Linked DNA regions of Drosophila melanogaster. Changing the gene in region 1 together with any one later gene gives a genetic interaction. Each region holds a gene or a part of one and is shown in the gene's direction. Other genes may lie near its edges. The genes, in order: Spn28Dc and Hayan.

Region 1 (5,364 bases):
GATACGGATCCCCAAGGCTATCCGTGCATAAATAATTTCATTAAGTGGGTGGAGATAGACCCGCAATTGAAGGTCAATTTCCTATCGTTGAATGGCGACTGGCAGAGCGATGGAACCTTTGTTCTAACGGTAAGTTATGCGATGTGAAATGCAAAAGTTCGGTGATTGAATGTTGTCTAATCATCTCAGCTACGTTCGGATACTCATATGAACCACATTTACTTCAACACACTGAGCGAAAATTTGGATCGAGTGACGAAAGCGTTAGAATGCCTCAAGTCCATTGAGAATGAATACGATTTCTTTGGGTTTTCTACGCGATTGAAACCTGTGGTGGAGTATATTGGCAACAAATATTATGCCAACAAGAAGCTGCACACTGTGGATACCGTTTGGTACGCGGCCAGCAAAGAACTCGTAGATACATTTAACATTCAGTGAGTTTGTACTTTATACTCTATAACTCTCAATGAAACGAATAATTTCAATTTAGGGTTCCTCCGGGCTTAAGTCTACAGCACTTGACCATCGAAGATGCCGAAATCATCAATGAAAACTGGCCACATAATAAACCCGGCTCTATAGACTTTGTGAGAAGTTTAATTAAATATAATATTAATTTGGGTGCTTATGACGACAAGGGAAAGTTGGTTGCCTGGTGTCTGCGGTAAGCCATCGAACTGTATATAAATGTATATAAAAACTTATTAATTAATTAACTTTCCTGTTTAGATTGCCGATTGGATCCCTGGGTCTGCTGCAGGTTCTGGAGTCACATAAACGCCTTGGTCTCGGCAGCTTGCTGGTGAAGTCGATGGCTAAGAAGATTTCCGCAGCGGGAGATCAAGTTTTGGCGCCAGTAGTAACGAAGAACACCCCCTCGAGGAGCATGTTCGAGAAACTGGGTTTCCGTGCTATAGACAATACATACTGGGCTGCCTAGCAACTGAGAAGAAGCCAAAAACTAACATAAATATTATTAAAATAAATATAGTGTAGGAAATGATTGGTTTTTTAATAATAAAGAAGAGTGAATCAGCTCATTCAATTATAGCTGAGCACCCATGAATTTGAGCTTGAATTAAATTGAGATGGATTGTAATGTAAATTTAATATAATATATTGGATAAAATTGGTGAATATAAAATGATATAATCTTGAAATGTTAATGATTTCAAAGGAAGTTATTTACGCTTCCTTTGCACGTTTCATTTTTAATATTTTTTATAATGAAACTTGTGCTTAAATTGTCAAGTTAAATTTCCGGATAATATTTACTTTAATGGTCGATGGTTTTTATTATGATCAGTTTACCATAAACTGAAGCTGAAACTAACTAACTTAGAGTTAATAACTTACATGATAGATAAAAAACTTACACAACTACCATTAACTATTTTTGGTAACTGGCATTACAGAAGCAAAAATGAGTCATCGAATCTAAAATAACTCATAAAGCAAGTAACGCTTAAATATAATTTACGACGGGCTTGTACGACGGCATTATCTATTACCAATAAAACCCATCTCATATTTGTTTAGTTCTGATGGCCCAACAGATGAGCACAAATCTTATCCTAGCGCTGGGAAATCCCACCACGACTCCATCACCGTGTCAATGTGCCGCGAACTTTCCAATGACGAGACCGAGAATACGCACCAAACATAATGACTATAGTATATAGCTAATAAATATTTAAACTATTTACTCACCGGTTGCGAGAGAATATCAGTATGCACGTCACGGGTTTGAGATACATACGTACGTACATACATGCATAGATACAAATGGATGGGAGAGGGCTGCCATGGATTTCCGCAACAAAGTTCGCAGAATGCTGATATGAATGGGCGGGGGGCAGTACATGAGTACGTGAGAAAGTACCGATCGATGAAGATCAATAACAAGTGCAGACACGGGTCAGCCATGTAAACAAAGCCGGGGTATAACCAGTGACTCGTCGACGAAACCTCTCCCAGATCCAAGCTCGCCAAGATCCGAGAGCAGCTGGGGATGCAGAGCGCGAGAGATCGGGGACTTGAAGGAGCGTTTTTGCTTGATAACAAGTTTCCGATTCCAGTTTTATAAAGATGCGCGCTCAGCGCCAATCATTCAGTCTGGCTTTAACAACTCGCACAGCCACATCGCGTTTGCCTCTAAAAAAAAAAAAAAAAATATATATATATATATATATATATATAAAGTTCGTTCTGTGTGTTGCGTTCGAGATTAACAAAAAGAAAATTACAAAATGTGGCGCTTGCTTTTGGCACTTTTGCTCGTGAGTTCGGTGTGCTGTGAATCGGAACTATTTCGTGATGACCTGAGGACCCCGGAAACGATGGCCTACATCAATGGACTGATGCAGCGGCGGCATCAGATGCAACAGGAGGCGCAGCAGCACATTCAGGCGATACCGCCTGCGGTGCCCCTTCAATCGCCCGGCCTTGTGAACGGCCTTGGCAACCAGAATGACCCTGCGTTGAATCGCATATCCGGCACTTCGGTGAAACCTTCCAACCTTCCGGCTGCCTACTCCAACGGCTATGTGGATCTGGCCACCTCTGATCGGATTGCGAACAGTGTGCTGAACTTTGCCAACATTCTGGGCCAGCATTTGGCCAACGGTAAAACCCAGATATACTCTCCCCTGAGCATTGTACACTCGCTGGCTCTGCTGCTCCTGGGCGCCAAGGGTCGCAGTTACGAGGAGTTGTCCACGGTCTTCGATATTCCGGACACGTCCAGGCTGCACGAACAGTTCGGCCTGATGCTGCAGGATCTGCAACAGCCCACCAGGGAGGCGATCTCCGCAGGACGACCGCTGACCGATTGGCGGGCGAGCAGCGCGATGAGATCCAATCGACGGGCCCAGCGACCCGGTGCTCATGAGGTGCACCTGGCCAATGGACTGTTCACACAGACCGGCTACACACTCAATCCCGACTACAGGTGAGCCGAGCAGCGGATAATTATCCGGCTGCAAACTGGAACTATAGCGATATCTGGTTGGGAATGGGTGCTGGGAAATGCCAAACGATTAGCGATCGCCTTGAGGTTTTACACCGTGAAAAACTGAAGGCCATGCGGGCTAAAGTGATCTCCTTTTCTGAATGCCAAGTGAGGGAAACAGGTTCATTGTACCAGCAAAATGATCTCACCCATTATCATCAAGCGTTTAGTGTCTCTTGATGGTGGTGCTCCAAAAGGAAGTATTTATTTTATATTCGAAGATAATATACAACGAGAAAATATTAGAATATATTTTTCTGTGTAGAAATGAGCGTGTAATTCCACTTATATTTATGAATCTTTAAAGCCCAAGCTTTCATTGAGAAATATATATGTACGTACGTACGTATAAAGTTTAGAATATAAATGGGAACCATTGACAAACAAATTTAGTAAGAACTTTTAGTGCGATTGTTTTTATGTAGAGAACTTGAATAAAATTAAATCGGAATTGGAATTGGAATTATCAGTTAATCAAATATTTAATTAGAAACCTTAGGTCAAATAGTAGGTACAATGAATTGCCAAAAATTTGGCAAATAAAAAGCACTGATAAGAATGGATTAACTTAAAAACATAACTAAGACATTTAATTATTTATTTATTCTTCAATTATAGCTGATCAAACATTGCAAAAAAAGCGGAAAAAAACTACTTTCCCAAGTTATTATTTAGCTCACCAGATATTGCAATTCCAACCCATCCCCAGTTCCCCAATACTATCGCTCCACTTTGCACAACGTTGTTGGCATACTAATAGCTGCGCCTTGTTGATTTATTACTCATGAGCTCCACTTTTGTGCAATTCCAGACGGGTGATCGTCGAGGTCTACGCCTCGGATCTGCAGATTCAGGATTTCGAGGGCAGTCCGGCGACAGCACGATACAATATCAATGCTTATGTGGCGCAGCACACAAAGAATCACATCGAGAACATCATCGCCAGCGATATTCCGCAGACCACCAGGATGATTCTGGCCAACGCATTGTACTTTAAGGCATTCTGGGAAACGGACTTTATAGAGTCAGCCACACGTCCGGATAACTTCTATCCGAATGGCGAGGGAACGGAGCCGGTGATGAGGGTGCAGATGATGGCCACCGGTGGTGCATATCCGTATCACGAGGATCACGAGCTGGGCTGCAAGATCATTGGACTGCCGTACAGGGGAAATCTGAGCACCATGTACATCATCCAGCCGTTTAAGTCGTCGGTGAGGGAGCTAATGGCACTGCAGAAACGTCTGACGGCGGATAAGATCGAGAGCATGATCAGCCGAATGTACAGACGGGCCGCTCTGGTGGCATTCCCAAAGATGCATCTTACGGAGTCGGTGAACTTGAAGACAGTCATGCAGCGAATGGGGCTGGGCGGCATCTTTAGCGCGGTGCAGAATGATCTCTCGCTCATCGCCACCAACGAGGCCACGAGGACGAATGCGCTGGGCGGCAACAGCCTGCAGAATCTGGAGGCACAGCGCAGAGCCGGAACGGGTGGAGCACGTTCCGATCTGGTGGTGGATGACATTGTTCACAAAGTGGACTTCACCGTCAACGAGCAGGGCACGGAGGCGGCGGCGTCTTCGGTCACATACCTCAAGAAATCCGGTCCCGATGTCCTCTTCCGCGGAGACACTCCATTCATGGTCCTTGTGCGCCACGATCCCACGAAACTGGTGCTCTTCTACGGACTCATAAATGAGCCCCCGGCGGCCGCTTAGTTTCTAGGATCATAAGTTATTAAGCTTTAGCACCTAAGTTCGTTGACTTTATAGTTAGGAAACTAATAAATCATTCACAATGATGAAAAATAAATTAAAACGTAAATTATGAAAATTTGTATTGGTTTTTGTTGCTGTTGAATCTTTTCACATTATCCTATGTACCGTACAGCAGGCAGATTAAACAATGCCCACAAATGTTCAAGGCGCTAAGTTTCTACAAATCATTTAAATTTAAAAAACAACCGCCAATCAACCGGTTGCGGTTAAAAGCTCTGTTAAACGGAGATGCTGATTATTAGCGGGTAACATGTTTCGTTTAACGGAACAGCTGTTCATTTAGTCGGCAGTTATCGCTTAAGCCGCATGTTATCGATATCTTCAATTATTTTGTATTCTTTTTCGCAATAAAAAGTGTATACTTTAGAAATAAAGCTTTAAATAAGTTTAAATTGATTCGAAATGATAGCCCTACCCGACACAGATAGCGAGGATGAGCTGCCACCCGGCTGGGAGGAACGTGCCACCGATGACGGCACCGTTTGCTATGTGAAGTAAGTCAAAAGTCCAGTGGAGTCGTAAACATTGTCTGATATTTTTTAATTGCACCATTTAGCCAGCAGGGAAAAA
Region 2 (6,243 bases), on another chromosome or scaffold:
CGCTAATCGCCAGTCGCTTCGTCCTGACCGCCGCACATTGTGTCAACACCGATGCCAATACGCCGGCCTTTGTTCGCTTGGGAGCTGTGAACATTGAAAATCCAGACCATTCCTACCAGGATATCGTCATAGTGAGTCACTGTGCTTATGCATTAAGTTATAGCCATTCTGATCGATACCATATCTCAGCGAAGCGTTAAGATCCATCCGCAGTATGTGGGCAATAAGTACAACGATATCGCCATTTTGGAACTGGAACGTGATGTCGTCGAGACGGATAACATCCGGCCCGCTTGTCTCCATACGGATGCCACCGATCCGCCATCGAACTCCAAGTTCTTTGTCGCCGGTTGGGGCGTCCTAAATGTAACCAGTGGGTAGCACAAAAAGTTCCATATCCTCCACTTCCACTAATGGCTAACCATCCGCAGCTCGGGCGCGATCTAAGATCCTGTTGCGCGCTGGTCTGGAGCTGGTGCCTCTGGACCAATGCAATATATCCTATGCGGAGCAGCCCGGTTCCATAAGGTTGCTCAAGCAGGGCGTGATCGATTCGTTGCTGTGCGCCATTGATCAAAAGCTCATCGCCGACGCATGCAAGGGCGACTCCGGTGGGCCGCTCATTCATGAGCTCAACGTGGAGGACGGCATGTACACCATCATGGGCGTCATCTCGTCGGGATTCGGATGCGCCACCGTCACACCGGGACTCTATACGCGTGTCTCGTCCTATCTGGACTTTATCGAGGGCATTGTCTGGCCGGACAATCGGGTGTAAAGTTGGGAAAAGTAAAGTTTTTGTTTTTTTTGTATGTATATTATTTCTATTTGGGATCAGGACTGCCTGATCCATCGCAATTGGCAAACACTCATCTGTGATCTCTATGAGCACCGCGATCGAACCATTTAATACCAATAAAGTAGATACGTTTTAAGATATAATCAATCGGTACAATATTATTTCTGGCAGTTCGGTTTCCAGAACTCTGTGAAGTGATTTTTCTGGTTCTGTTTAATTTTAGAGGGATTTCTGGGTCACCACTTTTATTGAATTGCTGCACTGTATAAAAAAAATGGGGAAATACAAACAGAATGCATTTATTTCAGAAAGATTTGTCATAAGAAATTTAAATTTTAAGCATATGTTTCAGACTATAAGTTGAAAAGGACTTCTTGGGTCACCACCTAGGTCGCAACCTAGGCAAGAAAGTAAGTATCTGGGTCACCACTTTAATTAGAGAAGAATTATACAAAAAAAAAAAAAACAAGATTACTGCAATTGAAACTATATATATGGTAAGTTCTAAAACACGATTCTGTGACACAATTATACTCGACTTTTAAAGGTGTAAATATCGGGGTCACCAAGCGCAGCATAGACCTTACGCGGTATCCTTTAGTCCATACCGCTCGCCTGTTGCTTACCCACTCGCTAATTACAGGCTGCCTTTGTGCTTTGTGTGCTCTGGCTTCTGATCGCTTCGGATCGTTCTGCGATTCTGCGAAGTGGTGGAATGGGAAACCGGTTCGCCGCTCAGCGGGAGAGGATCGGCTCTGGGTGCTATCAGCTGCTGGGTCCGGCGCTTCTTGGTCGACGTCTAAATGGGCCTCATCGGTTCCAGCTCCAGCTCCAGCTGGGGCTCAGAAGCTTGGCTTCAGTTGCTTGGGCGATGCGTTGCTGAGCGGTCAGAGCCGGGAAAATAGCCAGCAGATTCCATACCGCCGCGATTTGTGATAGCCACCGGTTTTTAGCTTTATTGACTCTGCTGGTGTGCTTTTTGCGGTGTTTTTTTCTTTATTTTTTATTTTTTTTTTTCGTAATTCCCTTGGATTTTGTTTTGTTTATGTGGTATTGAATTAAATTGTATTGTATTGTGCGGTGCCCGATTGCCATAGTCACCACAGTGCTCGACGCACTCAATAAACGACATCGATACGTAGACGTACTACTCCCTTATCAGAGACCGAAAAAAGGTCGTGTCAAAGGTGCGTTCGATAAGGCGGACGTCGGTGTACAGTGAACAGTGGACAATGGACATTGGGATTGCGGGATGTGGGGATGTGGGGCTATGTATTGCATGTTCTACTTTTGATTTCGTCGTGTTTACAATGGGCAATTACTGCGGAAGGCCGGAAGCTGATTAGCAATCGCATACCTATTTAATACAATTTCATTTGGGCCGATAACAGGTGATGTCATGACACTTTTGCATTGCTTCAATCGGATATATATGATTCAGTTGAACTGCAGACACATTGACGACTCTCTGCTCAATTGAGCAGCATAATTGTCAGGTGTTACTTTCGTATCGGTTATTACCGACGTAGCTGCGATATCAGTTGGCAGTACACGTCTTTAGCCGGTGGTAAAATCCCAGCGGCATGCCTCCCATGAATCATCTGATCTCACCTGGCGGCGCTGCTGGTGAAATGCTCGTCGTAATCGGCAAACACAAACTTTCCATCAACACAAAGTCTCTCAAATGAAATCAATCAAGTCTGGCTTACTACAATCGAGCAGTTCATATGGAGAATGCTTTTGTGGTGTTCCCATATTAAAAAAAAAAAAAAATCGTAAATGGGTCAATGGCAGTGGATGTGGATCGGTTTAATCAGCTGAAAGTCGAGTCGATTGAAAGAAACAGATCTCGTTTGTTTTTCCCTTACCATTTCGACGAGGGCTTCCCCTGTTGTGAAAATGATGTTTTCCATTTTCGGTTTTGATAAGGCTGATAAGCGTTACCAAGTAGAATGGGATTCACTAATGCTTTTGGGAATTTCAGCTGACCGATGGCGATGATCTCGGCGAGAAGGTACTTCCTTCTGGGTCTCCTGGTGCTGACAACTTCTGCGTATGTAACAGTTGGGGATGGTATGTAGGATGTCTTGCGGCGCGTACACTAGATCCTTGCCAGCTGGCCGCATTTCTCGTTGCAGAGGGCGATCCCTGCCAGGTGAGGTCGGACATACCGGGAATCTGCCTCTCCTCCTCAGCCTGCGAGAACATCAGAGGATATTTGAAGTCGGGCACGCTGTCCACCAGCCAGGTGCCGAGTTGTGGTTTTGGCGCCCGCGAGGAGATCATCTGCTGCCCCACCGTCGCCTGCTGTGCCACTGAGTAAGCGTGTCCTTGTCTCCTTGGCCTCTGCGCTCTATTGTCCTGTTTTTTGTCCTCCTGTTTGTGCACCATATATATGTGTTTGTGTGTGTCCCGCTTGTGCTGTGTGCCCACCGATGTTGCATGCCCCGGTTACCGGCGTCCAACGCCAGACTAACACCTCTCACTCCCACAGTCGAGGTCGTGAGGTCCAATTCCATGCTACGAGCTCCGAGCGCAGCAGTTTACCCGAACCCAAGCGGGAACCAACACCAGAACCGGAGCCACTGCCTCCAACGACCACCGAGGGGAAAAGGGAGCGGGAAAGTCGGCTGGACGAGAATCAGAACTTCTTTGACTTCAACAAGCTGCTAAGCACCACAGTAAAGCCGCAGAAAACCCACGAGTCCTTGAAGTTGCCCACACAGGAGTCGATGAAGACGCCCACTCACGAGTCCATGAAGATGCCCACTCACGAGTCAATGAAGTTGCCCACACACGAACCCATGAAGTTGCCCATCCAAAGCGTTGGAGCTTGGGGCATAGCTCCTTCGAAGACTCAACCCATTGCAAGCACCCAGAGATCTTTTATGGAACCGGAGTGGGGCCGTGAGCCACGGATTGTGAACCGTCCACTGACCACGCCTCGATCACGACCCCAAAGACCGAATAATTCCAATTTCAATACCAATCCAAGCCCCAATAATAACAACCTCATACATTTGGTCAACGATCGGCTGCGGGAGCAGGGAATGCAGATTGAGCCTGCTCGAGAAGTGCCCATGGTGTTGCAAACCACGCCCACGCCCACACCCGCACCCACGCCCACGCAATTGATCGATCCCTTTGAACCCTACCGATTTCGGGGCCAGGACAGAGACAAGGATACCCAGCCCCAGGAACCCTGGAACGATGTCAGCAATAATCTAGACGCGGATCCAGCTCCCAGCATCTTCAATCCAGCCGAGACGCGGTTTGTCTGAGCATTCTTTTGGCATGGACATCAGTTGGCCTCAGCCAGGGAGCCGCATGCAGTCTCTGTCTCAGGTGGAAACCATCGTGAGCCCAATTTTAATCGCTGATATACCTTGTCTTTCGCAGGCCAACGACGCCCAATCCCAATCCCTCCCGCGTCAATCTTCCCGAGAAGGAGCGACCGTCGGTGGCAGGTGAGTTGCGCATTCTTTGGAATATTTTATATGAAAATATCTTTGGAGATATATTATATACAATATATATTAAATTTCCTATCATCTGATGATAGCGTGTGAGAAGATCCGATCCGGTGGAAAGCCCCTGACGGTGCACATTCTGGACGGCGAACGGGTGGATAGGGGCGTCTATCCCCACATGGCGGCCATTGCGTACAACTCCTTCGGGAGCGCAGCGTTCCGATGTGGTGGATCGCTCATCGCCAGTCGATTCGTCCTCACAGCGGCTCACTGCGTCAATAGTGACGATAGCACACCCAGTTTCGTCCGTCTGGGTGCGTTGAACATCGAAAATCCCGAGCCGGGCTACCAGGACATCAATGTGGTTGGTATCGCCATGTGACACATGGTGCGAGATAACCAGTTGAACTCACTCACTTCCATTGGCAGATTGATGTTCAAATTCATCCGGACTATTCCGGCAGTAGTAAGTACTACGATATCGCCATTCTGCAGCTGGCCGAGGATGCCAAGGAGTCCGATGTCATCCGTCCCGCCTGTCTCTACACGGATCGCAGTGATCCGCCAGCGAACTACAAATATTTCGTCGCCGGTTGGGGTGTAATGAATGTGACCAGTAAGTTGTGTGTGCGTAAACTGCAGGATTGGATTGTGTTCGATGGTGTCTTTACAGATCGTGCCGTATCAAAGATCCTGCTGCGGGCGGCTCTGGATCTGGTGCCGGCCGACGAGTGCAATGCATCCTTTGCGGAACAGCCGAGTGCCAACCGGACGTTGAGAAGGGGCGTGATTGCCTCGCAGCTGTGCGCGGCGGACAAGAATCAGCGAAAGGACGCCTGTCAGGGCGATTCCGGTGGACCTCTCATCCTGGAGATTGACGACGTCGACGGCACCTACTCGATCGTAGGCGTAATCTCCTCGGGCTTCGGCTGCGCCACCAAGACCCCGGGCCTCTACACACGCGTCTCCTCCTTTCTCGACTATATCGAGGGTATCGTGTGGCCGTCGAATCGTTTCTGAGGCGTCATTTGATCTGCAATAAATTTAGTTTGAACGGATCGGATGGTGTTTCCCATCAAAAGTGTTTGATAAAGGTATTTTGTCTTTAGACAAAGTTCGACACAATTCAGTGAGTGTCATTAAAGAAGCCATAAGGGTTGTTCATTCAGTTCCTCAAAATGTTAGAATCGATTTTATTTTATATAATAGTGTAGTATAATAGTGTAGTATAATAGTGTAGTATAATAGTGTAATAGAAATTCAAACATCTGAGGCAACTAAGAGGTATCATAAGTGCCAAGCACTTTACCCACTGACGTTTTGCAGCAGCCCTGGTTTCGGGACAGCTGTCAAACTATCGCTGTCTGCGCCTCACCCGCTCGTACGTAAACAGAACTGAGAGCGCAAAAGCTCGCTGCGCGCGGCATTGCCAGGTGTGGCATTCGAAAGTTGCGACAAAAGCTGCTTACTGAGCTTTTGCAGTCAGCTGTTCGCCGCCGTTACAAAGTGCTGCCGGCTTACTGCGGCCAAACAGCCAGCCAAACACCACCCACCACCCACCACCCACCGACCCACTGGCCCCGTCCGCTCGCAGCAAACCAGCCCCCGCTCTCCCCACAAGGCCGCACTCCTGCGGGCAGCAAAAGTGGGAGCTGCTTAAATGGCGCTGCCAGGACTCCTCGGGCTTCAGTTGGTCGCGAGACTGCGAAGCTGTCGGTTTGCCTGCTCAGCGGTGAAGGTGCATTCCTAACGCACATAAAGTCTCGAATCCGTTGGAATTTGAACACGATTACCGTTAGGCGTTTGAAGTGTACCGAATCGAACTAAACTAAACTGAACTAACACAAGTCCCGAGTTCGCGTCGTGTTTGTTTATTTACTTTTATTTTTGTTACATTTTTTTTTTGAGTGACCACCGCCCGAATTCATGAGTCCGTCGGCCTGACCTGACCCCAAAAAGTTGAAACTTCCACCA

Evidence for each region.
Region 2: of Spn28Dc (region 1) and Hayan, changing one suppresses a phenotype caused by changing the other (phenotypic suppression), as found in Drosophila melanogaster (one study listed by BioGRID).

What each region holds. Positions count from the first base shown.
Region 1 is NT_033779.5:8,004,021-8,009,384, reverse strand, and holds Spn28Dc (serpin 28Dc), read left to right. Parts: upstream 1-2,174; 5' UTR 2,175-2,252; coding exon 2,253-2,953; intron 2,954-3,824; coding exon 3,825-4,734; 3' UTR 4,735-4,837; downstream 4,838-5,364. Other genes in the region: CG12560 (uncharacterized protein), read left to right, coding at 1-129, 190-437, 494-667, 733-943; Wwox (WW domain containing oxidoreductase), read left to right, coding at 5,197-5,288, 5,351-5,364. UniProt on the Drosophila melanogaster protein: Serine protease inhibitor which is required for pupal viability and plays an essential role in regulating the melanization reaction.
Region 2 is NC_004354.4:18,479,184-18,485,426, reverse strand, and holds Hayan (hayan), read left to right. Parts: upstream 1-1,654; 5' UTR 1,655-1,986; intron 1,987-2,783; 5' UTR 2,784-2,790; coding exon 2,791-2,872; intron 2,873-2,937; coding exon 2,938-3,118; intron 3,119-3,293; coding exon 3,294-4,070; intron 4,071-4,198; coding exon 4,199-4,266; intron 4,267-4,294; exon of another isoform or gene 4,295-4,361; coding exon 4,362-4,633; exon of another isoform or gene 4,634-4,698; coding exon 4,699-4,885; exon of another isoform or gene 4,886-4,942; coding exon 4,943-5,289; 3' UTR 5,290-5,444; downstream 5,445-6,243. Other genes in the region: psh (persephone), read left to right, coding at 1-131, 190-373, 432-778. UniProt on the Drosophila melanogaster protein: Serine protease which, by converting prophenoloxidase 1 (PPO1) into its active form, plays an essential role in the melanization immune response to physical or septic wounding.